2 linked regions of the Lepisosteus oculatus genome follow. The protein of the gene in region 2 interacts with the protein of the main gene of each other region in a biochemical or structural test. Links are inferred from orthologs where the notes say so. Each region holds a gene or a part of one and is shown on either strand. Other genes may lie near its edges.

Region 1 (15,150 bases), on a different chromosome or scaffold from region 2:
CCACAGGTGGATCATGCCTAGTCCACTCAGAAAGCAAGAATCGAACCCAGGATCAGAGCTCTCGGAAGTGCTAAAGCACTGCGCCAGCACTGAAGTCAACTTAAAACATTACTCTAGGCAGCTGGGACCTCTGATGGACAGGACATCAACAGACACAGAGGAATCTCCAAGACCAGGCCAGGAGAATCTTCCTATAAGCCAGTGATCCTCACTCCTAATCCATGTGCAGGTTTTCACCCCAGCACAGACTTTCAGAAAGCAAGATGACTCAGGTGGCTCAATCTAGTTCAGCACCTTGATAATCTAAAATCCATTCATAACAGCAAATGAATAAAGTTCCACCCATCCATTATTCCAATTCAGGATAGCAAGAAAGCTGGAGACTATCCCAGCAAGCACTGGGCACAAGTCAGGGTACACCCAGGATAGGAAGCCAGTCCACTGCAGGGCACACACAGACCCACACACACTCAAACCAGGGTCAATTTTCCTGGAAGCCAATTCACCTACCATCATGTCTTTGGACTGTGGGAAGAAACCGGGGCACCTGGAGGAAACCCACACAGACAAGGGGAGAACATACAAACTCCAAAAAGATAGCATCCCTGGTCCAATATTTAACCAAAGGGCCCCAGCACAGTGAGGCAATGTCACGATCATAATCCCTCCTCTTAAGGGCGCTCCGGCTCTTTCACATTTTAGTTGATTGTGTGCACCTGCCTCCTATCCAGCCCCTCCTCATTTAAGCCTGGTGCTCACACTATTCCTGGCTCAGCATTGGGAGATGGTCCAGGAGTGACCCAACGGCATAGGCTTCACCACGTCGCCCTGACCGTCTGGCTCCGGGGCTCGGAGTGCCTGGCCTTGTTATCCCGTGTTTATTCCCCATCTCTGCAGCAGATCCCGTTCCGGTTTTTAAACCTTGTCTTGTTTTGTCTTGGATGGATCACCCGGCTTTGGACTTTTGGACTTCTCCCTGGACTCCTCAGGACTAGTTCACCATGGCCACCCCCGAGCCCCAGTGCACAGTCATCACGCCTCCCTGTTCGTCAACCCACCCAGATCCTCATCGTCTGCTCCCCGTGTCCATTTACTTCCGGATTATACCGCCTGCACAGGGTCCTGACCAACGCATCGTTACAGGCAACCATACGAACCCCTGTGCCATCATACCGCCCCTTAAAGTTATATTATAGTTTGAAAAGCAATTCAAGATATACATTGTAAATCTCAGCTGGAAAGCAAGGCACAGAAACAAAGCACCTAATGATTTACAAATTAGATGAAATCAGAAAGTGAGAATTACAGAGGCGGAACGTGCCATTGCTGTGAGGAATGTGAGAGGTGCCTTGGTCACCTGGTGAGACATACTGTACTAGTGTAACAATCAAACTTGAGAGCTGTTGAATTGAGATAAGATAAGATCACTTTATTGGCCATACACAATTTCTTGTATTAGGAATTTGTCTTTTCGCAGGCACCCATGGAGCAGTTGGGGTTAAGGGCCTTGCTCAGGAGCCCAACGAAGTAGGATTCCTGTGCTGGCCGCAGGATTCAAACTGGCAACCGTCTTGCCACAGGCACAGACCCTTAGCAAAGATGAAGAGGTAAGTGGGAAAAATTTATTTTTGCTATTACAGTGAGTGTTATGGATTAGGACAGACAACAGAAATTAGATTCGAAAACTTAAGGGTAAGCAAGTCTTAAATGAAAACATTGTAGAAACTATAAATTAACCATACTGCTCAACGCCCACTGCTCCCCTAGGCGAAATATAACTTTTTGTTTTCCTACACTTTAAAATCATGGCAGCAATTATCAGGTTTTATTGTTTCACTAGGTAACCCCTGGCAACTGGAAATCACATTAGCTCCTCACTTAAGTGACTTCAATCCTGTCGAACTTGGGGACGCAAGAATTCACCAATCTTAAACACCTGGACAAAGAGAAATGTCCCCGTCTGGCATATCCGTTTTTCAAACGCCTTTCCCCGACGAGCTTTATCACAAAACCTGGGCCTCTCACCCTCCGCACCAGAGAGCCAACACAGTCTGGGTGACGCGCTTCTCTTTCACGCAAGAGCACACGATCCGGCAGACGGAGTATGAAAATGGAAAAGATGCTGTTGCTTGGAAGGTTCATGGGTGCGTCTTTGAAGACTTAAACTTGCGGACTCCCGACTTTCTGAGCAAATTCAAAATACTTATAATGATTATTAGAAATTTTAACGCTGAATTAGTGCGAATGGAAGGGATTTGGCTATTTCTCCTTTGCCTCGGGCCGAAACATTGACAATTTCTTCAGTCTCGGAAATAGAAAACCTGTATTTCATGTTATTAATATCCCAAACAAAATCGCAAAACATGAATCTGATTGTCTCATCGAGTACACGATGTGAATTGAAAATGTAATTCGCTGTTATACTGTACGTGTATGTTAGTAACTCTTTAAGAAATCGAATACTTTAGGTGTTATATAGAAACAACGAGACAAAATCCCAAATCCTTTGAGAGGAAGAAGAACGAAAGAGCAGATGAAAACACGGCAACAACACAGACACTGGCCTATTTTTTTGTTTGTACAGCAGGACAGAAGAAGGCTGTGTTAAGAGTCGTTTTGAAACGCAATCACGTCCCGGCAAAAAAAAAAAGCAAATCGAATCAACTTGTATCAAATCAAATTACACTAAGCACGACATTTTATTTGAGAGAAAGAAAGTGGATTAAATGCTAAACGGTGCTGGCACGCCTGAGCATACTAAGCATGCAGACGGCCCTCGAATCACCTCTTTACATTTCCCAGCCCGGCAAGATGCGTTTAATACGTCATTTTAGATAACGTGAAAAACCCGCTAGGCTTCTCATCTGACAGGGCAGTTTGTTTTTTCTATTTAATTGGCCAAGAACCCAGGCACTGGAGGAAAAAAAAAAAAAAAACAAGTCTGGGATTCTATTTGATCTTTTCATAGGGACAGAAAATAGGTTATAAACGCCATCAAGGACGCAGCTAACTGATCCAGGCTCCTCATCCAGCTGTGTCTTCAGCGAAGCCAGGGTATGGGCTTCAGCTTCATGCCTGGGCAGCTTGTTCCACACTCCCACCACCATCGGTGTAAAGAAGACCTCCTGCCCTAGTTGGAAGATCTCATTCAACTGTTTTTCAAAAGATGCCAGGGTGTTTATTGGCTTCAACAACTTGGCCAAATAGATTGTCCCAGACCTCTTCGACCTCTTATACTGTATATAAAAGTGCCCCCTGTTCTTATTCTTTCCTATAAAACATCCTGATTTTAGAGAACAAAAGATTCATAAATATAAGATTCCTTTAAGAATGAGAAACCTATCCATTCTTCAGACTGTATATATATAATGAGATTTTACCTTTATATTTTCTTGTATATTCTTTCTTGTTTGTCCAGCACAAACACCAAAAAAGCCCTTAAGACTGATGACAGGAAATGACCAGTAGATGTATACAGTCCCCACACCGGAGTATTTTCTCAATGGATAAAGAGGGTGTGGCACGCCATGCTTTTGGCTTCCCAGAGACAATTGCTGGAAATAAGCATTCACAAACACATTTTCAATGGTGTCTTTGTTTGCCAGAAGGACACTAAAACATCTTAAAGCTACTCTACAAAAAATGAATAATGTTCTTGATTTTTGTCACAATTTACTCATTTGCTCACCCAATTTCCCTTTGAGCAGTTTAGAAATATACTACTCTAACCCTCCCCAGACCTATTTATGAATGCATTTTAAGAAGCAGAAGGTTATGCCTAGGACCAAGTCTCAAGAAACAGAAACCCTCCCCAGACCTATTTATGAAAGCATTTTAAGAAGCAGAAGGATATGCCTAAGAACAGGTCTTGAGAAGCCTTCAGCGCCTGGTTATGCCTAAGAACAGGTCTTGAGAAGCCGAGAGTGCTTGTTTAATCCTATGAACAGGTCTTGAGAAGCCGACAGCGCTTGGCTATGTCTATGAACAGGTCTTGAGAAGCCGACAGCGCTTGGTTATGCCGAAGAACAGGTCTTGAGAAGCCGACAGCACTTGGTTCTGCTTAGGAGCAGGTCTTGAGAAGCTGATAGCGCTTGGTTCTGCTTAGGAGCAGGTCTTGAGAAGCCGACAGCGCTTGGTTCTGCTTAGGAGCAGGTCTTGAGTGTTTGGGAAGCAGGCAGTGCTTGGTTATGCTTAGGAACTGTGAAGCAGACAGTGCTTGGTTCGCTGTGTGTCACTTCCATATTCACTTAAAATTGAGGGCGATGCATCATCGATGCCTATCCATCACATTAGCACCTCAGTTAAAAACCTTGCTCTTAACCATCCGTTCCTATACCATGAGATCAGTTAAATGTATGATTGTGCCAAATATGATTTGCCTATTAAGAACAAGTTGTGCATTTTGGGTTGAGCTCAATGGCCAAGATTTAAAAATAGACAAAGGATGATTCCCCTTCTGAAACTGTCTGCTGACTCAGGCTCTTTCATTTCTTTCTGCAAACCAGCAGAGGATCCACTTCCTTAATGTCGTTCTTCATTTTGAACACAGTAAGTGTTACTGCAAGTGCCAGTCATCACTGGGCCACTATTAGCCCCTGTATATCACAGTTATGCCACTGTGGTTCCAAATCTTGTCGATGTCTATGCTGACATGCAGTGACCAATTTTGTAAATCACCAAGCATTTAAAAATATGAAACCACAACCCTCACCATAACAGACTGATCTATGTCTCTTTCTCAGTCTCTTAACATTACAGTGCTTGTTTGTGGAGCCCATCCTGATACCACAGGACCCAAAAGCAGGACTACACCTCAGACAGAATACCAGTCCATTGCAGGACACGTATATGTGCACTTACTGAGCAATTTAGTGATGCCTTCGGGCACAGCAATGATGTCGCTGGAGTATAGGAAGAAACCACAGACCGTGGTCAAAATTCACACAAAAAACATCCCAAGCCAGAACTGATTCTAGGACCTAAGACAGTGTTAACTGCCCCCCCACCTCATCAGTGCTCCAGTACTGAAATCTAGCACAGCCCTGCAGAAGAGTCAGCTTCTGAGCAAGAGAGAAAGGGTGATCATATCTGTCACGTCTGTCCACAATTGTCAATTGTCAGTGGATTGTTTTTCCTCTCCACTCTGTGTGTGCTCTAAACTGGCAAAGGGTACCCCTTATTTTCCTAGAAGGACCACACCAATCCCTTACGTTGCCCGAATCTGAAGCTGTGATGATGTCTTGAGACTGAGACTGAGACTGGGAAAACTGCCTGCAGGCTTGCACGGTGGACTGTGACACTGGAGATGACATCAACACACTGCACAAACACAGGGCCTTCCTGGTGCCTGATTCCTCCGCTCTGCCAGTCCCTATTGTCAAGGGCCGATCTTGAAAGCACGAGGCTTGTAAATTTTATATTTTCCTTTTGACAAAGGCAGAAGAGAAGGGTGGTGGGGGGCTGATGCAGGGAAGAAGGAGTGAAGAAATATTACCATTATCCTCTGGTTGTCCGGACTGACTCACAACTTTATCTGCTACCCTGCTGGGATGTAGCTGATCCAGACCAGGACAAGATCGTTTCTCATGTGCTACAGCTGACCATCGGAACAGGATCCTACACGTTACAGCTATGATAATAGTGTCTCTGCGTACTGAACACCCACCCACTCCCAGCAGGGAATAAAACGGTCCATTTTCCCACGGATGTGATCATACTGTATGTATGTGCAGTAAGTGCAGTGGGAAAGCACGAAAAAATCCATTATTTCAGTCCAATAAAGCCTCTTGGGCAACATGATTATGCAGTGGTTAACATTGCTGCCTCACAGCGCTAGGGTCCTGGGCTCAGTGCCAGTTCCAGACCCGGGGTGCTATCTGTGTGGAGTTTGCATGTTCCCCCCATGTTTGTGTGGGTTTCCTCCAGCTGCCCTGGCTTCTTCCCACAGTCCAAAGGCATAGGGGTGAGTTCAATGGCTCTGGTGTGAGTGTATGCATGTTTATGTCCTGTGAGTCTGTGTCCTGTGATGGACTGGTGTCCCATCCAGGGTGTACCCTGCCTTGTGCCCATTGCTTGCCAGGATAGGCTCTGGCTCCCCTGAGACCCTGAATTGGATAAAGCAGTTCAAGAATAATGGATAAATGAAGCCTGTTATTATCCCATTATTCTAACTGCGTTTAAGCTTTATAAGTATGGTATCTGGGGGCTATCCACTGGCTCTGAAGTGGTGCAGCATATTGTACTGTGTACAGTATATTGCTGATATGGCTCCAGAGGGGTCAGAGGTGTCTCCGTGAACAGCAGAGCAGGCGAGCTGCTCACTTTGTGGACTGAGGGGTAGGTGAGTGCAGAGTGAGATCACGCTGTACACAATGCTGTGGTTACAGAGAGTGTTGCCCACAAGCCACATGGGTGTAGTTATAGCTGTACTAAACTGACAGGTTATTATCATTCGTGACTGGGCTGATGCTTTTATCCACAGAGAGTTGCAGAGTTTACAGTGACCTGTTTTGTTAACCTATACAGTTGTGACTTCCATTTATAGAGCCGGAGTGGCTGGAGGGACCTGGATGAAATATCAGGATCGGGGGACGAAGGGATCCACCCACAGGGCTTGCAGTCAGGAATCTGGATCCCAAACTGCCGCTGTTTCCAGAACACAGCCGGTAGCTGTCTGATTACCTTGAAATGGAAGATCTCCCTTTGCAGAGTGGAGAAACTCCATGCTGTCTGTGTGAAAGGGAGAGGGCCTCCCATTTGTGGCAGAAATGTGGCTGGTTTTATTCATTTTCAAGGCCGAGGCCTTAATCCCACTGATTCTCAAACACCATAGCTTCCTTTGGCATCTGAGCCACACCCTGTAGAGGACTCAGCTACACTGTCAGTGATGATCAGGATGGCTCCACCTAGTGGTCTCCCGGGGATTGTCTCTGTACAGCCTGAACGGACTGTAACTGCTGACCCTACAGCCTGCTCTGGCTTTGCACTGTCCAGTTGCTGTGCTATTATTCCACAGCACCATGCATCAATCCACCCTTCGCTGGGAAGCTGCTGATTGCTGCTGAAAGTCACAACAAGCAGCAGCTTATTCCCTGCGATCTCAGTGTGAAACTCCCCTGCAGTGCACTGCAGGCCATAGACACTCAGGGGCAGTTTAAGGACAGTGATTCACCTAGCCAGGCAGCTGGGGTGCGAGGAAACTAGAGCAACCAGAAAACGCCCATGCGAGCACAGGTGAGAGCATGCAAACTGAAGGTGCCCCCAACTGAAATCAACTCCACGACACACGAATTTTATGCCACACTTGTGCAAACCCCTCTATACTAAAGTATGTTACTTCATGTACTCTTTACATTGTATTACTTAGTGCATTTTAATACAGAGAGGACCTCTCAAAGAAAGCCCAGTCAGTAAGGTATGGGGCAAATGAGTGGCACTGCTCATCAATAATACATACTGTATATTAAGGATATCTGTGCAAGGCTGAATATATCATTCCCAAAACAGTACAGTAAGCTACACCTGGGTGTGACAGCACCAAGAAGATAAAAAAAATCCAGATTGTTTTGAAGGCCCTACTAAATTATATAACAATTCACCATAGTAACAATTGTATGGTAATATAATAATAATGTTTCTTTATTAGCCCTGTACAATTTCTTGCAGTAGGAATTTGTCTTTTCACATACCCCAGCTTTTCTCCATGGAGACACAGACACAGAGACAGGGAGAGAAGCTTGGGGTCAGAGCGCAGGGTCAGCCATTGTACAGTGCCCCTGGAGCAGTTAGGGTTAAGGGCCTTGCTCAGGGGCCCAACGGAGTAGGATTCCTCTGCCGGCCACAGGATTTGAACCGGCAACCTTCCAGTCACAGGGGCAGATCCTTAGCCTCAGAGCCACCACTCCGCCCTACCACATTGTAGTACCAGCATGAGCAAATACGTGATTTTTACGAAGTGGAGCACAACACGGTAATTCTGTTTTACTAAAGTCTCAGTACTCCCCTACATTACAGTACATGTTACAGCTGAGCGTGGAATAGTTCGCAACTGTCAAACAATAGCACCGCTGTATCAGGTTTTACCAAGACACGGGAAGGTGATACAGTAGGTCTGGTACTGTTTCACCTGGGCATAAGCACAATCGCTGACTACGGGGAAAAGGGCGACACCCGGGCAGCCTGGCTTGGCTCGGATGTGAACAGAGGGAGGAAACTGGCATCAACAGTAAACGCACCGCGGCACCAGCTGATAGACCGTCGTACTTGAGTCAGGAGAGTAACCTGGAAAAACAAATTAGCGAGAAGGCACTTCACCGACTCCCCAAAGAACTGGTTTTATTGCCTCGCTATAACTATTAAATGCCGCCATCATCTTGTTTAGAAAAGAAAAGAAGTTTTAACGGTCCGTTTGCTCCAAGCGTTGGTCCAAACTCGGATGTCATTATACTTCGAATAAAAACGTAAGCTGGGTAACTGACGGTCTCCGTCGCCTCGTGTCTTAATTTATGACTTACTTAAGATAATCGATACAAAAAATAAGTAAGAAACAACTCGCACGGTGGGGTGGCTGTTACATTCACCGAACGGAAGTTATTTTACTGTTCATTTTTTTAACTAAGCCCATGTCTATACGGGGTTAATGGTGAACTTACGTTTTAAAAAGAATAAGTTATTAAAAGAATAAGAATTATTAAGAATAATAAAGTTGCCTCTTTTTTTTCTGTTTGCACATCACATTCTTAAGGTACATGTCAACCGCTAGGATGGTCATATTTAAGCACGTTTAAAAGGCCGTCTCACCCATAAGGTGCCATTCAATTGTATGGAGAAAATAGGTCAGAGATTGATGGGCTGTTTATGCAGAATACTGATGCCAGTGGAAGCCGTTTGTTTTGCGTCTGCAGGCACGACATTTTCCAGACACTGATTTGTATAAATATGTTAATTATTTATTTAGCTTACATCCAGATGCATCGGAACGACTGGAAACTAATTCTGTCGTTTTGTAGTGGGAGGTACTGTACATTGAAAGGCGTTGGTATGTACAGTGAGCCGGATACAGGCTGCTCTAGAGCAAGTTTCACGATGACTGTTGTGGTTGTGTTTTCTAAGGGGAGTGTTGAAGATGGAGGCATTGAGAAAATAAAGAAAATCTCGGGTAGATTCCAGTTCAAGACGATGTCATCCGAGCTCTTTTCTTATTATTTACCATGTGGTCTCGATTAGTTGGCAGCAGCTCGAATATATACCTACTGTTTTCTGCGCAAACGGGACCAAAGTAAGACTGGCCGTAGATAACGCATGATTTGGGGTTTTGAGACTGTTTGCAGCGGAATTCCTGGTGTCTTTCATTCAGCAAGAACAAAAGAGAGCGTAAACAAATGAACGCGTGAGCCCAAAACAAGTGGTAACCAAGCGAAGGAAACAGAGGTGAAAAGAGATGAATACATACGTAATGAGAAATAAGAGTGTTTTCGCACTTACTCCGTGCGGGCGAGTCGCTTAAGTCAGCCGGGGACGGGAAGATGCTTTTTCTGCCTTTCGGGGTAAGAGGGTGAAAGTTGGCGATTTCCAGCTGCTTCTGGGGGCTTGGCAAGCAATCCGTTTGCAAGTCCGCTCGTCCCTCCTGGCTTCGGCTTTAACGGTATCGATCTGCTTTTGCCGATGTATCGGATTTGGTTTCAGCGCTACGAACGTCCACTCTGGGTCGTCTAACCGGCTTCTCTATGGAAACGCCTTTTTTTCCCCTTCCTCCTCGGAGCCCTGTCTGACTCTGGCTCTACACAGACACACACATCCACACACACATTTTTTGAAGCTGATGTCACACGTTATCCGGTCAGCAAATCCCTCCTCCTTCTCATTTCTCCCTCTCTCTCTCCCTGATTCTTTTCTCCTCTGTAAACGCCGGTCAGTGTGTGCAGGGTATGTTAAAGCAAGGGGGAGAGAGGATATTTCACTGTACTTCGTCCCGGCTGGTCTCGCTATTTGGACGAGCTTCACGTTGTTGAACGACAGAAGGTCTTTAGGAATGTGACATCGGTCTGTTCTGCTCGCCGGCCCCCGAAGCCCGTTTTGTAACGACAGGGAGAAGGGGAGTCAAGGATCGCTGCTGTACTGTGTTATACAATCGCATATTGCACGATGCAGGTTACATCTGTACAAAACAAAAATTCAGACCTCCCAAGTACTCACTACATCCCAGCTAGTACAGGAGAGTCGTTTCGTCTAAGATTCATTTTCTTAGTTACTACTGTCCAACTAGGAATGAACGAAATCTAATATCGAATTTTCACCGCAAAAAAATGCTTTCTGCCTGTGTTGTTGATGATTCCGTTCAAGTCTGCGCTCTCCCCCAACACAAACTTGCAAAGTCATCCTTTATAAACACATTCCGTACTTCACGTCGCTGGTCTTTTCTTTGATTACATGGCCAGATTCACGCTTTGCCTTTCGTATGTCAAACGCTGTGCAAAGGAGTGCCCCAGTCACGTTTGGCATCAGTAAGCCTCGTTCATTAAAAAAAAAGTTAAAAGGAGATGGATCCGTCAGCATGACTCATAGAAAAAAAAACCCTTGCAATTTCACTGACCTTGACCACATTTTTAATCTCATTCACGATCCTTTGCCATGACACAAGCGGCAATGAATAACTATGACACTGGTTCTATAAAAGGCATAATATTTCGGCACAAACACGGTGGCATAGTGCAGAAGACATGGGCACTCTGGGTACAGGCAGCCTCAGTGAACAGCTGAATGGTTTTGGTCAGTAACACCTGCCCAGCGGTGCCGGGCCTGTTGTCACGCCGCTGACGTCATTATTCGCGGCTTTGACGTGCTGTGGGTGGTTCTCCCGCCTAGCCGCCTCGACCCCTTTCTCGCTCACGCATGTCCATCCCGTTTTCTTGAATGAATAGAGACCACTCCAGTCCTTGTGTACCTGCCTGTTTGAGAAGTACCGTTCAAATTGTGACTGCCCTGCATAAAACATTGCTGATGTGACTACGTGTCCAGGCAATGACTTCAATCAAGTCATTAAGGTCTGAGATGGGCTGACAATCAGAAAAAAAATATAACACTGCAGCAGTTCTATATTGGGTGGCCTGATGTCACAGTGGTTACGATTGCTGCTTTGCATCACTGTGTGGTGTTTTGATGTTTTCCCCTTGTTTGCATGGGTTTCTTTTGGGATCTCCGGTTTCCTCCCACAGTCCAGTGACATACTGGTAGGTTAATTGGCTTCTGGAAAAATTGACCCTTGGAGTGAATGTGTGTGTGATGATGTGTGTGTCTGTGTGTGCCCTGTGATGGACCGGCGTCCTGTCCAGGGTGTACCCTGCCTTGTGACTGATGCTTGCTGGGATAGACTCCAACTCACCTGCAAATTTGCAACCTGCAAATTTGGATGAAGCAGTTGGATGGATGGATATATATCTCTTCCAGTAGTTCTTGGCACGAGGGAAATTCACATTGCTGGCTGCAATGTTGGCAAACCAGTAGGTGGTGCTCTTCTCACTTTGCTGAATCACTGTGCGAGCAGAACAATGAACCTCATTGCGTTGTGTTTCAGATAAGATCCTAGGGAACTGACGTTATTCAAATCTCAACTTATCTATTTGAATGACAGTGTTTGTTATTGTTCTATAGCTGCTTGTTAATATAATATTGTTATGAACAGATGTTCATCATCCAGGTGGTGCTACACATAGCTGGGTGGAGGGGAGTCCCCATTCCCTGTAAATCAATTTGAATGGAGTTTCCAGAAAAGTGCTATATTAGTGTAAAGATTATTATTATTATTATTTATCACCCGATCTTACCTATTCATCAAAGATGTCCAAGTGCAACACATAATTGTTTTCCCTGTGGTTTATTAGATCAATCCAGCTGGCTTAAGGGTGTCTTGTATTGCATTGTAGACGAGTCTATAAAGTAAACAGAAGAAGTAACCAGTGTTGTCCAGATAAAGCAGAAGGGCTAGAATAAGAACATAAGAAAGCTTCCAAAAACAAGGTGTCTGTTATACCCATTGAGCTTGGTTGCTCATAACCTAATGCCAATAGAATCAAGAGCAGCTGCTTATTAAAGGATCCTACAGAAGTGGTTGAATCAACGTAGCCAGGCAGCTTGTTCCCTATACCCACCACCCTTTGTGTAAAGATGCACCCTTTGTTCTCAGTCCTAATTACCACTGTCCTCCCAACTACCCCTTGCGGTTTGGGGGTCCACAATATATTGCACCTGTGATGGGTTGGAGTCTTGTCTAGCGTGTGTACCCCACTTTGCCACAATAGGCCCCAGCTCCCCCTCGACCCTGTATTTGATGTAGTGGTTAGAAAATGCAGGGATGGATTTATTGCTCAGCAAGGAAGGCTAAAGAGGCTCAATACCTTTATTCTGCCCCTGAGGGACAATCTGCAGGGCCCCAGAATTCCTGTACTCCCTTCTCTCTTCATTGAGCTGTTCCCAGGGCAGGAAATACCCTCTCTGGAACTCCACCACCAGATTGAGCCCAACAGTCAGGCTGCAGTCTCAGTCAGGTGCCTAGGTCCTAGTGCTGCCATGCTGTGTCTGAATCACATTAGGATCTCAACTTTGTTTTGCACTTCCTTTCATTCAAATTCTAGTTCTAATCTGTGGACGGAGACAGAAATATTTGGCCAGAGGCAGGAGTGGCAGCCTTTACAATAGAAAGCTCTGTGTTTACTGCTCTGTGTTTACTGCAGTTGAATGGGAGAGGAAATAAAAATGAGGACACGAGTAACAAGCAACTTGTGATCAGAGATCACAAGTTTGACTATTTTTAGGAAACGGCAGTGCGGTGCTATGACGAACAGGAACAAACTGCTAAGAGAACCAAAACAAGAGAGAAAGCGAAAGATTCCTCAGAACACACAAAAATTCAGAACTGCCAAATCCCACGAAACCGGCTCTTTCTGAACTTCCCAACTGCCTGATAAACTAGCAACAGACAGTTTCAATCTCCTTTTTTTACTCCATTTTTCCCTTTCACATTTGCATCAGAATGGAAATCATTTCCACTAATTGCTCCCCTCATTAACGCCATGAGCCCGGGAACCTTCTTGAAAAGACGGAGACATGAGAGGGAAACAAAATCGCAAAGTCATATTCATTCCTTATCAATTCAGCCTCCTCGTCTCCCCTGCTTTTCATTCTGCGTTTGAATTGCAGAGCTATTCAGCCACTCAAGTCATAGAGACCTGCAATCTGGTCGCTTTTGTCTTAATTTTGGTGAGTAATGTGTGGCTTTTGGAAAGACTAAGAAAATAAAAATCCCAAGAGAGAGAAATTAAAATGGAAATAACAAAATGAGTCAATCCTATTCATCCCTCTCCTCATCCCCAAAGCACTTTAACCCTGCTAGAGCTGGAAAGAGAGAGGAATACTAATCAATAGATTTACGGCTGGTTTAGACACTCTGGGCTGATAACAACGTGTGATGCCCAGAGGGAGCAGGGAGGAGTAGACCAGTGGTCATTACTTCTCACTTTAATCCCTGAGTTAACAAACCCCTTGCCTACTTCTCTCTTCTACAATACATACAGAGTTAGAAAGGAAGCTGTGTCAGACGTCCAGAGGAAGTCCAGTGGGAACTCAATTTACAGAGGACAGCTGTAGAGATTTAGTGGATGTGGAAAATACCTGATAAGTCAACAACAATATCAATACTGCGAAACCTTTCACCTCTAAGGCATAAACAGACGTACAGATTTGTCCTTGTACACTCAGTGATCTGTGAATCTGTTGTGTGTGTGTGCTCTCCACATAATTGCATTGATTCATCATGAATTTTAGTTGCGTTCTTCCCACGGAAGTCATTAGCATTACTACCACAGCATTAATTACACACCTGCACTGTTTCAACAATTACAAGCCCTGTTAAACACAATACATCAAGCCGAGGCATGAACCCGTTAGCGTTAAATTGCACACTGAAGGAATAGATACCTCTGCCGATTTACCGGTGACCTCCTGAACTGAATTCATGATGTGGGAACTTATGACAACAGAATAGAAAAATGGCTCAAATTGTTCTGCTGAAACAAGACAGGGCCATAAAGAAGTCCAGCACCCTGGACTCGTAACTCAGGGGTCTAGCCGTACACAAGACTGCCGCCCGGGTGGAGCGCTCTGAAGTCCTGCTCCGGGGGGCACAAGTGGGTTTGACTCCACAAGAAATCACAGTCCCCAAGGGCAATGAAGATAAGATAAGCTACAATCACTGTATTAGCCATATACATTTTCTTGCATTAAGAATTTGTCTTTTCACATACCCTAGCTTGCTCTCCAGGAGACGCACAGATGGGGAGAGAGGAGCTTTGGGTCAGAGGGCAGGGTCAGCCATTTATACAGCTAAGGGGCACAACAGAGTAGGATTCCTCTGCCAGCTGCAGGATTTGAACCAGCAACCTTCAAGCCACAGATCCTTAGCTACAGTGCCACCACTCTGCCCCAAAAGCCGAGCACAGTGCGGGCTCTAGGAATTCAGAGATTACTAGAGACAAGGCAAGCTACGACTGTGTCTGGCTGTAGCAGCTGGACTTCAGAGCTAGCCTTAGTTACTTCCATCCCTCCATTTTCTAACCAGTGCAGGGTCTCGGGGGAGATGAAGCCTAACCCAGCAAGCAATGGGAGCAAGGTGGGATACTCCCTGGATGTCAGTCCATCACAGGGCACACACAGATACAGACACGCTCACACTCACACCACGGCCAATTTTCCCAGAAGCATGTCTTTGGACTGTGGCAGAAACTGTGGCACCTATAGCAAACCCATGCAGACACAGGGAGAACATACTTTACAAACTCCAGGCAGATAACACACCAAATTTAGAACAGAACCCAGGACCCCAGTGCTGCAATTCAGCAATGCTTACCACTGCTCCACTGTGCAGCCCAATTACTTCCAGTTTCTGTTAAAATAAAGGGCAATTACCACGTAGTCTAAATTTCAGACTACCTCTTTTTTTCTGCTTTTCTCCTCACAACCCTATACAGCTGCTCAGGTTCAATATAAACCTGAAAGACAAATGGGGTTGACTTAAGATTTTAGCTTTTGGCTGATTTTCCTTGGGCTCCCATCCTGATATTCGGTAGATCTGCAAAGAGAATTAATGGTGACAAAAAA
Region 2 (15,150 bases):
GCAGCACACGATTTGCACACCTCCACAAACAGTCATTTGACTCCTCTTTCTTGAGCCTATCAAAGAGACATCTGACAGGGCAGTGGCACGACTTCTTAGGAAGGGAACCTACCCTCTCCCATCCAAAATCCTGAATTTGTAAGAAGCAAGAGTCTTGCCGACAACTTGCTGGTAATTTTGGTAGGGGTCCTGTGCCGATCGAGACTGTAGTGTATTTTATTTTAAATGTTAGTTTAGAGAACAAAACAAAACCATTTTACATATTAACCACCATTATTCAGCCTTACTTTTACAATACACTTTTGACTACACATCACAAGCAGAAATGGTCTATTCCTGTTTGTTCCCCTAGTATATTACAATCATATATCTTTTAAACAAAACTATATACATTCAAAATGAGGAAGATGTATACACTTGTGAATATGAAAAGGGAGGAAACTATAAAAATGTACCTTATTAAGTTTCAGTTATTTTGTATCTCAACAAATTCCGACCTTAAAGGTTTAATGTACTGAACCAATATTCGACTAATTTTTTCATTTGTAATTTTAGTTTCTATTATATAGATTTCCTTTATTAATTCAATCCAATCATTCATTGTTTGTAAATCCGGGAGAAGCCACTTTCTTGTTTCTAGCTGTCTTCCCTGCTGATATAAGGATTTGCAGTGTATTTTCCAAGTTTCTGCGCGGCACCGAGCTGCACTGGAAACGCCCGGCTCCTCGCCGCCCTCACCATGAGCACGCCGAACGACCACCAGTCCGCGCTGTGGGTGTGCCCCCGCCGGTTCACCACCTCGGGGGCCATGTACTCCACCGTGCCACAGAACGAGTAGGCCTTGTTCTCGTGATCAATCGACTCCTTGCTCAGGCCAAAATCTGGAAAGGCGCGCACACACACAAGAGACTTTGAGAGACGCAATGGCAGAGGTTTTTAAAGACAAAAACGACTATTCCACTTCCTCTGCTGTGGGGGGTATTCACTGTGTAAAGACCCTACAGGCGTAAAGTTCTATAAAATCACAAGCTTTCCAGTCACCTGCTGCTGCAGTTAACACACATCGACAATATTTTTAAAAATTGTTTATTGCATTCAATCATTACAAACACCCTCATTAGCAGGATCTGGATGGGAGGTTTCTTCACACTACAAACTTGTCCCAGCTTACTGCATTGCCTCCTCCCTCTTATGGGAGTCTAATACCATACAATAGGGAAGATGGCAAATCTGAAACTGCAAGAGCTCTTGTGATAGTGTGTGGCTTATAAAGCATTTCCATGTGAAACCACATACATGCTTCTTTTTATACTCTCACAGACATGGCCACATACCTAGAGTTTATTATACATGCAGCGATAAATATGTCAAAGAAAATATTATTCCTTCCTAGGAAGTTGTTTCATGTATATCTGAATCTATGTTTATTGCTATCGAGGTGCAGAACTCTTTTTATACACAACCTGCTGTTACATACCTGTTAATTTTATATGCCCTTCTTCATCGAGCAAAATGCTGTAAAGAGACACAGTCCTTCGATTAATACAAACGGAGATCATGAACGTTACCCTGAACCTTAACTGGGAACAAAACAAAAGGACAAACTGAGGACCCTAGAGGCCAAACTGATTAGCTTTGAAAACTGAAACGGGGCAAGGACAGAATCAAGGACTGGATGCAAAAATGAATGTAAAAGAAGTGAAAAGTCAAATAGCCACACAGTATTACAACCTACAAAGATTTGGTTTGTAGCATTTAAAAAAAAAATGACCAACCGTAGCTCAAACTGCGGACCATCTACAGGTATAGCTATTTAACTTTGCAAGACCATCCTGTGACATCATTTGTCCTATGAGTAAGTCAAGTTGGCAGGGTAAGGCTGAGCGAAGCGAGAAAGTTTTGTGAGCGTGAAATAGTGATAAAATGCACACTGGTGCCATAGTGGTTAGAAAAGCACTCCCATCTAAGCACTTGACCCAGTTTCGGTTCCCAGCCAATACAGTTCCAGTGTTCACAGGGAAATTCATTTATAACTGATAACCTTAGGCGCTTCTTTCAGCGGGAGTCATGAACAAACTAAACAGTTTTTTTTTGCTGAAGCGGATAATATGGTTCCTTTCAAGAAACAGAGGGGGTAGTCAAACTACCACCAACGTGCCGGATGTGCCGAATTACTTCCTCTCCTTTGGAGCCTTCGTGTTCTTACAGCCCCCCTAAGAAGGCCAGCGAACTACTGCATGCAGAGTGTGTGATGACAGGTTTTCATAAATGTCTGACTATCGGGGGGTGTCCTGTACCACAGACATCCAGCCCCTGTGTAAAACAACCAGTTAGCTAACTACCGTATGAGCTAGATGGGCCCAATCCGCTCTTTGCAATGGTTCTTAAGAATCGGAGAGGAAACATGTGGCTATCCCACCGACCGCCACATCACCCCGTTGTGTACCCCCTGCCCTTTTGCTCGTACTTCTCTGGCTTGAGGTCTCTGTAGATGATGCCCAGGCTGTGTAAGTGGTCCAGGGCGAGGGCCAGCTCTGCCAGATAGAACTTGACATCCTCTTCCGTGAACATCACCTGCCATTGCAGAGGGGACAGAGAAGGAAGAGGAAGAGGGGACAGAGAAGGAGGAAAACACACCAGGGAGGAGATGAGAAGAACGCAAATGAGACACGCAGAGAACTATTCTTCTTTTCCTGCCCTGGTGTTACTTATTTTCCTCCCCAAGCTACCAAAGAAGAACAAAGACTATCCAGTGGCACTTTGTTTAGAAAGGAAACAACAGAGTTCCTTGTTAAAACCACTCAGGAACAACACCTCGGGTGACTAATCCGGCTGCCCTATCTTGAGGGAACGAAGACAGGAAACGGTGACTGCTCAGTTTCCCCTGCCTCAGCCAGTGTGGTACAGTAATTACTGTCATGTGCACCTTTGCAGAGGGACTGGAGGCTGGAAGGCTGCTCACTGGTTTTCTGTAGCTATGGCTCCTGAATCTGCCTCTGACTTGCTGAGACTTCGGTTGCAGAAACAATTTGCCGTACCTTCCAGATAAGCCGCTTCTTAAACACCAGTAAGCACAGCATGCTCTCCTCTAGCTGTGGGACAGGCCTCTTATAGCATCACTTAAAGCAGAAGCCCCAACCAGACGACAGCAGGTTTGCTAGGTTTCCTGTGTCATACTGAGAACTGACTGGTGCAATAACACTTAACTGGACCGATTGTTCTCCACAGATATTTTAAAGAAAACTCTCTGGATTGTGGCCTTTAAAGACCAGGACTGGGAACAACGATTTGAAGTATAGGATGATTAAACTTCTTTTTGAATAACAATCTGTCATAACTAATCACTTCCACCGCCTGTCGCGGACGCCGGGAGACAACGATGGATTCCCGGGCTGCTCCCTCGATTGCATTAGGGCACAGGCATAATACTCATAACATCTACACCAGGGATCGTTCCAGGACAGAAAGCAGCTGGCCGCGGCGGCAACCCCTCACACCTGCACACTGCGCTTCTGCTTGATCCGTACCTCTTTAGACAGGCGGGTGAACAGATCTCCTCCCCTGAGAAAGTCCAGAATGAGATAGAGCTTCCCTTCTGTCTGGAACGCTGAAACAAAGTGACCAGGCAGGAGTCAGCACCGCACAGCATACCTCAGGACTACCTCCAGGCGAGGGCCAAGAGGGCTGAATGATGGTAAGGCATGGCAATGGGCAACTATACGTTCTTGACAGAAATCCAGCAGTACAGAACTGTGCACTTCTAACACAGCCCTTACGGGGCATCATTAAACAGATACACTACTGTCTGGGAAAATGCTTCCATACTCCAAGCAGTTTAGATTAGAGTTCTCTATATTTGCGATATTTAAATAAAAAGACCAACAGGCCCATGGTTCAGGGCTGGGATACTATATGCTATAGTAAATGCTATTTAAAAAAAAAAGTTAGTGACTTTTAATAGGAACAATAATTTAATCTCCTTGGTTTTAGAACATTAGGAGCTGCTGGCAAACCAAGCATGGCAACATATGGCTCCCGAATCGGCTCTTACCATAATGCAGCTTCACGATGAAGGGGTGATTCACCTCCACCAGGATGTCGCGTTCCATTTTTGTTCGAACGCGATCTCTGACTGAAAGGACGAGACAAAAGGACTCAGGCAGAGATAAACGCAGCCTCCTGCTGGAGCCTGCTATCACACTGACTCATGGACGGCGCCAGGGGGACTTGATCAAAGTGCTAAGAGAGACGTCTGTCGTTTTTCTGAACGCATTCATTAGTCAGACCCTTCGCTGCATTCCGAATTCCTCTTCATCAGCTCTCACGGACCTCTCTATATTCAGGGCCAGTGATGGAAGTAAAAACTAATTACACTTTAATGGCAAATTAACCTTCATAAATTGCACTGCAAGATGGTTATTAACCCTGACCTACCCATTAAGAAAGCATTTTTTTAATCAATGAGCAATCTCATTTTAGTTAATATCCATGTAATACATTCATTACATTAATTACTAGAGGTTGATTCTCACCACGTTATTAACACTCAATGTCATGTTGATCTATTTTTGGTGGTAGAAGATTCAGAAAAGTAGTTTCTAAAGCCCTCTCAAGCGTTATGGAGAAACCTGTTCACTTCCTGTTTCATTCAGGCATGCAAAGGAAGAATGCCAGAAATATACAGTATGAAAATCTACCCTTCTCCGTAAATCTAACTGAACAACATTCCAATTGGTAAAAGCTCAGGCCTTTCTGAAGCGCATTTACCTGTATTGTGGCATTTCTTTTATGACCACTGCGTGGTGTCTAAACCTGACAAAAAATCTTGAATTAAAAGCTGCAGAACTTTATTTTTTAAAAGACTATTTTGGATATCCAGCCACTGATCATGAGGCAATTTTCTGATGTAAAGAGAACGGCATTCCATATTCAAGCAAATTATTAGCAGGTTTTTTCCTCAAATATGCCAGTTTCATTAGTATTCAACACACATATTTAGACCACTTGGTTTATTTTATAAAAAAGATTTTGTGATGGCACGGATGATGCAGCTTGAGAACCAGTCAAATTATTTATAAATTGGGTAGAATACTGGCACAGGCATCTGTTCAATGTGTCCAAATTGCTGTCAGTCCTCACAGTGCCATTCAAAGTGGCAGCATTCACAGAATCTATGGCCAGTCATGGCTTACATGGCTTTATGAGGACAGGATGCTGAACAGGTTTTTAAAGCGAAACAGGCTTGAGACTTAAAACCAGGTAGGGGATACTAGCACGGCAGTGTCACATTAGGGCCCGGTCCAGACTGCCCTTCAACGGCTGTTATTTTCACAAAAGATGGAACCTATTGGATTATGTCACCTTCTCTGGGGGTGCTCACTATGAAACAGCCTGTTTGAAAACATCAACTCAATGACTGTAAGAAAAGACAACCCTCCCCTCTTGCCCTCCGTCTTTGGTCTCTTTGGTACCTAGGGACGATCGGGATGCCTCTGTGTTTTGTGTCACTCTATGGTATAAAAGACGCCAAATCTCTGCTGAAGCCTATTGTTTCACTGCTAAACCTAGCACACAGCAGAAGAGCAGAATACGCCACTCTCAAACCCAGAGCTGCTGAAAACAGACTCTTATATTAAGTGCTTTTACGTGCTTTATGAAGCCGGAAGGGAATTCCTTCCATCTCTGTCTTGACCCCTCTAAAGGGCAGCGCTGTACTGCGAAAGGAATAAACACCATGCTGCATTGCTAGTGACACTGCATTCACCGATGTTGATTAACCTTAATGATCTGACAATAAATGAGTACAGAGAGCAATTTAAGGCCAGACGCAGACTGCTGTGGCTCCGGCTGTTTACGAGCTGTTCCGATTCAGAGCGATTCCCAGACTCCGCTGTGTCAAAGATTCTGAAGCAGAGCTCACTGCTGTCTGCATCAGCACTTTCCTTCGGCATGGCCAGAAGAGACATCCAGAAACCAGGGGACAAAGAAAAAGCATGTGGAGGCTATCCAGCCCCGAAGCAGGAAACTCTCCACAGCTTTTCTAAACTGTGCCAAGATGGCAGCAGCTTGGAGGGGCAGATCCCAAGTGTTTTATGTTTGGCCAGGGTCTTTCCATCAGACCGCTCCAGTAAAATGCCCAGCTGTATTTACGGGTATAATTTAAGCAGGTTTGGATAAAAACATCAGCAGAACAACTTAGTAGTGAATGGAGTAACAGAGATATAATTCATTTCGGGGGACACAGCAACTGCAAACTCTTGCAGAAGCCAAAAAAAAACACTTTCTTTGTTCCTTTGAACATGACATTAATGATCGACATTCAGCTGACTTCCAACACACTGCATTTCTGCTTTGCTAGTGTAATTAGCACGAGATTTCGGTTCTTAAACACAAAAAAGGACCAAACCGCTCCACAGTGGAAGCTGTGCTCGATTCCAAAGAGTACTTAGCAACACTAAGGAGAGACTGGGAGAAGAAAGGCTCTTTCCATCTGGAGTTGTGATCAGGCAATTATGGATGCAATCAGGCATTAAGAAGAGTCACAGACACAAGCACAATATCTATTAAGACTTGTGGCAACACTGTGGCAAATACCAAGACAGGAAGTAACATTCTGTCTTACAGGAGTCTATAATTAATCTGTCTGAGAGGTTCTAGTTCAAGCAGCTTCCTGTCATTTCAAACATTAAAGGCCTGGGAAAAGGAGGCCACATATGGGACAAGGCTTTATTTCAGACACACAATGTATAAACAGAGGGGGTGTTGCCCTGAGAAATGATGTTAATAATGACCAGAAACAAAGAGCTGTGCACAAAGACAGCACTGTAGGCATGTGTGTGCACTGGCCTGGAGATGTGCAGTGAGTCCTACAAATACACCGTCACGCTGTGAGGATCGGGCTGACATCAGTCTGTAGTCAAAAAGTAAACACCCGAAACAGTTCCTTGGGCACTGAGAGGCTTAATATTGCTAACAGGAGGTATAACATCCAGAACAAAGATCAAATTATAAATGTAGAGGCATTGCAGCTTTTTTGTTGAAAGCTGCCACAATTGAGGTGTACAATTCTGTACCCTTTTTCTATGTGAATGACTTACCATACCATACTTATAAAGGCTGCCACAACAATATTTAAAAGTTTGAAATGCCGATTAAAAACCTCAGAAACAAACAAATTAAATGCTCATTATTCTGAAGAAAAACACATCAGCCTCAACAGGGTAAGATATATTGGATCACGTAAATTGCATACATCAGCACTAAAGGCCTGAACAGTCTGGCCTTGCTTTAAAACTCTGGATTCAAAAACACTGAGGACACAATTCAGGACACTGAATTGTAACTTCATCAATTAATATAAGTTTAGAGCATTGCTTGCTTATACCATGACATGACTGTGTCTCAGACAAGATGAGTGGATTTCTGACAGTAAGAAAACATTTACCTTTAAGTGTTGCCTTCTTAAGCACCTTCATAGCATAAAGCTGTCCAGCATCAGGGCCCGTGATCTTCTTCACAAGGAATACCTGTGGTGGACAAGTCCAGAAGTTACAAGACACAGCAGAGATGGCCTAAGTGGGGTGGGGAGTCCTTCTTTCAGCACTTGACGTCCTCGAGGCTGGACTAGGTTCTCTCACACAGCAGCCCCAGTAGACCAGTGTACAGGAGCACTGGATGCTATCAGCTGATTAATAATATCGTTCGGAGAGTCAGACAAATTGGCCTAGATGGGTTCTCCAGGCTGGGCGGCAGAGGAGAAGGGCTTTGAGGGGCAGTGGAGCTCAGAGGTCATTACCAGCACTAAGGTCACCGCCGGAGGGCCCATGAGAACTTGGTGGGAACCCACACGGCACAGAGGAGCACCCCGAGACAATGCCCTTCACCTTGCATATCCGCGCTCCACTGGTGCATCAGCTAATGAGTTCTCATCCGAGCACAGGCCCCCTGACAAGGCAGGCAGGACACGGGGTGATGCTCCTGGAATAAAGGGCCCTTTCAGCTCCAGAGAGCAGAGACAGAGACGCCACTGTGGGCCAGCCATTAGCGCTGCATGCTTGCCGAATTCCTGCCGAAGCACGCACGCTTTAAAAGGCAAATCCGCAGAGTTAGCTGCAACAGTGCAAATAGGATGTTCTGATCCCTGATCTGGGCTCAGGACACCAGACGCAAGTAAACAGATGCCCCAGGACTCAGCTCGGCACAAACAAGAAGAGGTCCAATTGCAAAAACCTCACACTGCCTGAAAAACGTACACGAGGCATGCATGGCTATCACCAGCCAAGAAAGACTAATAATACTGACACCCGAAGAAGGCTCCACAGCTGAAACTTTGCGTTTTGTTTCTTCTCTTTTCAGCATGGAATAAACCTTTACTTGTTCCTAGTCATATTAACTACCATATGCCCCCACTAGCTGAGAATGCTCATCTCCATGCTCATCACACAGCTCACACTACAGCAGTGGAGGGCACAGCTAAAATCAGTCAAGGGTCACATGCATGCCACCCATCCAGCCTTAAAGGCTGTAACACATATCCAAACAAAGCAATTGACAAGAACATTTTTGAAAATCCTACTCAATTCCCTTGCACATGTCCAATGGTTGAAATGATTTGTAAACAATGCTCACACTTAATCTATTTCTGATTGCTCACAGGGTGGTCTCTGAGGGCCATCGAGTACCCGCCATTACCAGGTCTGTGCATGACTAGATCCCTCAACTGAAACCTATCTGTCCCTGAAAAAGGCAGTAAAAATAAAAGGGTGTACTGCGTGCACTTGCAAGACACGCATTCGGTCCTCAAAGCGTTTCTCTCTAAAACCACATCCAGCCCACTCCCCGCCGCCCCCCCACACACTCACCTTCCCGAAAGAGCCTTGGCCCAGCACCTTCCTCAGCTCAAACTGCCGCGGGTCGGCCTTCTCGTGGCCCTCCTTGACGTGGTGGGTGATGGCAATCTCCTTGACGTGCCCCTCGTCCTGGACGACAGTCAGGGAAGAGAAGGCAGGGTGAGCTCCCGGCTCAAGGCAGCCCAGCGCGTTTCGGTGTTAAAAGCAGGTGGGAGGAAAGCAGGAATAGGAAGGCCTGACGAGCCTCGCACGTGCTGCCCTACCTCCTCTCCCCTCTCCCCTCTCCCCCCCTCCAGGAACCCCGCCCCAACAACCACGGGCGCTCCCACACGCCCCCACATACGTGATAGGCCGTCCCGCCGTCCCACGGCTTTGTCTTGCCCCGCGAGCTGCTCTGTGCCACAGCATCACCCATGCCCATCAGCACCCAGCCCCCGGGGGGCAGCAGGAGAGCGGGGCTAGGAAGCGGGACAGCCCGGGCGGCGCGGGCCCGGCGGCGCGGCCGAATCCTCCATTGCCTGTAATGGAGGCAGCGAGCTGTGGCGGCGATGTGTGCAGTCCTGCAGGCAGGGGAGGATCGCGTTTGACAGCTCCCACACTGTTGCCATGCTACCCCTCTCGCAGGCATCAGCAGGTGGGAGTGGAGGAGGTGACTAAGGAAGAGGGCCCTTCGCTTCTCTCTCTCTCTCGTTAACTCTTCGCTGTGCCTTCTCCTGCTTCCCCTCCTCTTCCTGTCTCCCTTCTGCCACCCGCCTGCGCTGGGAAAACCTCCAAGTCCGAAACTGCACTCGTACAGCTACAGCACTGAGTCACGCTGCACACTTTCCTCATCAGACACACAATGCCCCCCCCCCACTGCCACCGGAACTTTTTTTTATACACGCTTCGACTTCAAAAGGTACGACGCAGCCTTGACAAATAACTACAAAGATACTAACCCCGAGGAAAAGGCTAAAAACCTGGAGATCTCGGCATCTGCATGCCTTCGGAATCAGGAAGCCGATACTATAGGGCTCTTAGTGGTACTGAGATAAGAGACTTGTGTGAGCAGAACACTGACAAAAGCACAGAATCTCAAAACACTTGTCTCTCTCTCAAAAGGTGTGATCTGTAGATGCTCAGCACGAGCAGGAGACATTTCTCGCGTCAGAAAGAGTTTGCAGATCAGTGCGCTGCGCATGAATGACTCTTACGAGAAACAACCAGGAACTACACTCGTTAAACTAGGCTCTCAGAGGTTCATCCTCAGCGATGAGATTTTTCCCCAATAAATGGAAATGGATATCTGACTCCAGAAGGGAGCCTTACAATAGGCAAAGCTCATCTTTGTCAAGCTGAACCTTGAGAATGTGGAAGAAGTCAATTTAGGACAGATGCATATTGTAAATGTGAAACTAATCCCCGGGAGAGCAGGCCACATTTCAATCATAAAAATGAGAAGTCTGTTAGACTCAACCCACTGTACAGCGCTCATGATAAAAGAGCCACGCACAGGGTAACAGCACAGAACCGGTGAAGGGTTAATCACAAACGAGTATCTTATGTGGGAAATCGCTCAGCGAACACAGGCTGCTCCTCGTGGGAGCTAAATATTAATCTAAAAAAAAACACTGACCCTTACTTCAGATACCGCACCTTACAGTAATTGGCTCTACGGAAAGAAAAAAAACCTGGACACGCACGGAAACTCATCTACGACGCCGAGCAGAGAAGACCTCTGGCAGAAGCACAGTACCTGATATTCACACGAGGAGCACAGAGAGGCGACGACAACACTCCTGTCCATCCTCTGCAGTCCCAGAGACAGCCTATACGGTTTGCATTCTGTCAGCAGCGCAAGCATGCTGCCATCAGAGAGGCAGGAGCCCGTCTCCCGCGCGAGGAGGGGAAGTTGCCAGGGCAGAGCGCAGCAGACGCACCAGGATGTGTGGCCTGGCCGGGAAGCGGAGAGGAGAAGTGAGAGGCGCGGACCCGCTCCGCCACGCACACGCGGCGCTCACCGATCCCTCTCCGCGACAGAGCGGCTAAGTGCTAATTCAATTAAAAAGGCTGCTCTCCGAGGAACGTTCAAGCCTTGCACAAAAGCCGGAGAGGCGACGGATAAACAAACCCACCCGCAAAACAACGACATCTCCGAAGGGCCGCTGCTGCGAAACACAACAGTAACACAACAGATGCCTCCGATCTTTCCTGGGATCACACGTCTGGTCTCGGAGACAAGGCTCGAATGCAGCATGTGAACGTCTAAGCGAAATGTCAGCGTGTGTCACGCAGTCGCGTCGGCTCTTGGCGCTGGTGCGATCAGACACACAAAATAAATCTGGAGTGTTAAAAAGAGACTCTGCTTCAGGCAGTGGGGGGGGGGGGGGGGAGGTGCTCGTCTCGGCAGGTCTCAGCCTGCATGTGGTCAGTAAGGGAAACCTGTGACGCAGTGAGGAGAGCTGGCCTTTGGCCTCAGGAGGTTTCACTTTCACTAGACGTCACCCTGTCTAGAAGTCGGAACAGAATTTGCAGGATCCTTCCTGTAGACCAGGCAAAATGCAAGTACTTTGGAAATTCAGCAGCTCAGACTCCAGCCCTGACCCATCGACACTGCTCCATGCCAGAGAACTGCCAGGACAGTTGGTTTGTCTCCTGAATCCCTTATGTAGCTTATTTTCTAATGAGACCATCCACCCATCCCGTTTCATCCAATTCAGGGTCGATGAAGCCTAACTCCACAAGCAATGGGCTCAAGGTTCAGGATGTGATGCCAGTCTATTCTAGGGCACACGCAAACATGAACAGAGACACATACGCACTCGGACCAGAGCAAATTCTTCTAGAAGCCAGTTAAGCTACCAATATGTTTTTGGCCTGTGGGGGGAAACCAGTTCAAATGAAACCTTTCCTCCAAAAACTCAGCTGCCAATAAAAACTAGATGCATCTCCACAACAACCCTGACTGCTCTTCTGATACTTCTTGATCACTAACAATCATCCCTAGGAAATGACGCAAAAGGGAAAATTGCTAGCAGTTGCAACTCTCCTCCTCCAGAAAAAGTCCAGTAAGAACAAATGTGTCTGACCTCTGACCTTTCTGGAGCACTCAACAATGTCAACGATGCTGATTGGATCAAAGTCTCAACCATGAGGCACAGCGGATTCAGAGGAGATCCTGCTACAGTCTCCTGTCACCCCAAGAGCAGTTGCTGATGGAACCGGTGACAGGCCCAGAAAGACTCAGGAGACTGGACTACAGCCTTAACAGAGGCAGGCTGGCAGCCCTGAGGCGTTTATTGAAGTGCAGCCAAGCTACTGACGAGAAGTGACCTTGGGCTAATCATTTTCAGAGCAAGTGTCAGACTGGGAAGATTAGTTCTCTTACTCCGCTAAAGACATGTCAGAACCCATTCGAGCAACAGGCAGGAATGGACCACCCTCTGCACAATAAAACGTCATGCCAGAGTGTGTTTTCTGTTTTAAGAAGAAACATTTATTCTGGGAGCTGACAGAGGGCATTGCATGTTGTTAGTCAAGTGCACAAGAAAGGTTCAATTCAAAACTTTATCGCATGGTCGGTTCATGAAATTATTCACCAAGTTACCCTGATAGGGACTGGGATTCACACAGAATAACGCACCTAAACTGACATGCTTGCAAAAACAATACACTAAAACGTGCTTCCAAATCTTGTTTTGTTGTTTAAAAAAATAGTTTCTTCTGTCGGCAGATGGTCCTGCAGAAAGACAGAAGCAGGATCGTTTACCTGTCTCTCTCTACCTCGTTAGGCATCGAGACTCACAGATCACAGAATATGTAACAGACAGACCTCATCTCTGCCAGGACCAGCTGTTCTGCTTCCTGTTTATGGAATTTTAAAACGAATTGCAGCTCAAACCGGTAAAGCTGAAAATGTTCTTTAAAACGGCATCTTTCCAATACAGCATACGTCAATAACATCCGGGTCGTGACCTATCTCATGCTGTTTCAAAATTCTGTACCATGGCCTGCGATGCCCGATACGCAGGGTAGAACATGAGACTACAATTGCTTTTTTCAATTAAAAAAAAAAGTGACCCAGCACAGGACAAAGAATATCTGGGCAATACAACCAAAGAAGAAAGAATATGGCCAAAAAGCAGCTGCATTTTGAACTCTGCTGTGACTGCCCTTCCAAGAGGAAGTAGAGATGTGCGATGCAGACATCCTTCGGCTCAGGAAAACGAGGGACCAGCAATCACCTGGTAAAAAGGAGCCACACAGGAAAGCCCACCCTGAGGCCCCCCGCATGAGCTCTGTTCTCTTGAAGTGATGACAGGCTGGGCTCAGAACTCGTACAGACGTGCCTCTCTGCACAGGCAGGCATGCAGGAAGCTACAGTAGTACATCTTCCACAATCAACAGCTTCAGGGGAGGATTGAAGAATTTGCATATTCTGTACAGACGAGGAGTCCCCAACCCTGGTCCCAATTCCATTATTCCTGCAGGTCAGTTTAAATGACCTGATAAGGATTAGGGACACTTATTTAGGCAGTTGATCAGTCAAGCAAGTGAAGTATCAACGAAGGGAACACTGATCCTTGAGAGCTGATGTTTTCTCCCAATGATCTCTGAATGACTGAACTGAATGAACCACCTGTTTATTTGATCAAGTTGTTCCACGCCTTTAGAAACTGATGTTTTAAAGGGCTCCTGTAAAAACCTGCCAAATGCAAATTGAGACTACTGGAAAAGCCAAAAGGTGTGACAGAAAACGACTGTTGAAAAGAGCTGCTGCAGTCAGAGGGAGCGGACTACCGACACGCTGACCTCAGCTGACTTCCGACATTTTCAGGACACGCGAGAAAGCCCCGACAGAATAAAAACGCTGCTAAGCAGAACGGTGAGCCCATGTGAGCAGTTCTTTTATGCCCACTGAAATGGCTGCAGCCGTGCCCCGCGGGAGTGCTGAACCAGATGGTTCCACCAGCCCCCAGGCGAGCCGCGGGTCTCTAGCCCGAGTTCCCGGAGGAAACCTTAACATCACAACTCTGAAACGTCTGCCCAGAGGCACTGAAACACAACCCGGGCATGGGAGATAGTGTTGCTCTGGAACCAGACCAGGGAAGAGCAACCAGATACACCCGTGGCCCCACAGAGAGCGTTCGCCTCTGACAGGCCGAAGGAGTTTAGTCTTGGACAGAGATGACTACGACGGGGACCCAACTCAAACACTCACAAATCACTGACCCAAGTCAACCCAGCTGCACCAGAAACAGCTGGACCGTGCGTGCCACAAAAGGGGGCGCCCAACCCACTTTCCTATTCCTCCATGCTGAGCCCTAACCATCCGGTGCGTCTGCTCAGGCGCTGGACTCAACCGGCGCCGGCTGTCACCTCTGCAGCATCAATCCACCTCCCCTGCCAACCGAGTTCTCCACGAGGAGAAAATGAAAGTCCACGGTGTAAACAAAGCGACAGGAAGACTTCCGTTTCTAGAGAGAAACAAGGGTTTAGGGCGGACTGTAAAAAGATCAAATGAAACCAGCAAAAGAGAGATCGCCTGGGAATTCAGTGCAAGACTTGTGAGCAACCAATCCCGGATGCTGAACTACAGCAGCACTGCGAGTGGCTCAACCCTGTCTGAGCCTTCCTGAAAAGTGTGTCAAAACCCACAGAAATTCACATGACCCGATCCATCACAGCACCCTTCCCTCCGCCGACGCCCATAATCTCACTCACATGCTCCCCGCGGAAAACCCCGCCGCCGCTCTCGAACTTCTGCCGCAGACAGACGGACATCGCCCGGCCGCAGGCGATCCTTGTGGGCTGGCTGAATTCCACCGGCGACTCGGATTCGCCGTTTGCAAAATGACAAAGAAAATCCGCAGCACCGGGGCCCCCAGAGCGCGCTCGCCTGCCCGCCCTGTAACTGAGCCCCACAAGGGGAAGGCACTCGGGCGGGTGTTTCGACTTAATCCGCCGACCCCCGCCATGTCGGGAAGAGATTAAAAGATTCTCCCAGCCGACCAGCTGCTGAAGTTACAGTGCCGTCTGTACCGTGCCCTCTCCGCCGGCACACGCCCTCCCCCCACTCCTCCCCGGGGTTTACTGGTAAGCCGTCTGAACTGTCCTTTCTGTAAGGGAGGGCATGCGGTCCGAACCTGACATCACGCAGCGATCCTGAGAGGGCAATAACCAGGGCACCGCGGCTGTTTGAATTAAACGGAGAGCGCGGAGGACGGGGAGAGGGAGAGAAGAGGAGTAGAGAGAGAGAGAGAGAAGGGGTGCCTCTTACCAATACCCTTATTTTATTAAAAACACCCCTCAGAGGAGGGGG

What was found.
Region 1: the proteins of ribosomal protein S6 kinase alpha-3 (region 2) and astrocytic phosphoprotein PEA-15 form a complex in vitro, tested with the Homo sapiens proteins (2 studies listed by BioGRID). The link is inferred for Lepisosteus oculatus from reciprocal best matches to the Homo sapiens genes RPS6KA3 and PEA15.

What each region holds. Positions count from the first base shown.
Region 1 is NC_090699.1:9,322,501-9,337,650, forward strand, and holds the start of astrocytic phosphoprotein PEA-15, read right to left. Parts: upstream 10,000-15,150; 5' UTR 9,452-9,999; intron 1-9,451. UniProt on the Homo sapiens protein: Blocks Ras-mediated inhibition of integrin activation and modulates the ERK MAP kinase cascade. Inhibits RPS6KA3 activities by retaining it in the cytoplasm. Inhibits both TNFRSF6- and TNFRSF1A-mediated CASP8 activity and apoptosis.
Region 2 is NC_090700.1:4,614,699-4,629,848, forward strand, and holds the start of ribosomal protein S6 kinase alpha-3, read right to left. Parts: upstream 9,672-15,150; 5' UTR 9,478-9,671; coding exon 9,193-9,477; intron 8,979-9,192; coding exon 8,862-8,978; intron 7,527-8,861; coding exon 7,445-7,526; intron 4,133-7,444; coding exon 4,052-4,132; intron 3,608-4,051; coding exon 3,528-3,607; intron 2,575-3,527; coding exon 2,468-2,574; intron 1,516-2,467; coding exon 1,478-1,515; intron 882-1,477; coding exon 739-881; intron 1-738. UniProt on the Homo sapiens protein: Serine/threonine-protein kinase that acts downstream of ERK (MAPK1/ERK2 and MAPK3/ERK1) signaling and mediates mitogenic and stress-induced activation of the transcription factors CREB1, ETV1/ER81 and NR4A1/NUR77, regulates translation through RPS6 and EIF4B phosphorylation, and mediates cellular proliferation, survival, and differentiation by modulating mTOR signaling and repressing pro-apoptotic function of BAD and DAPK1.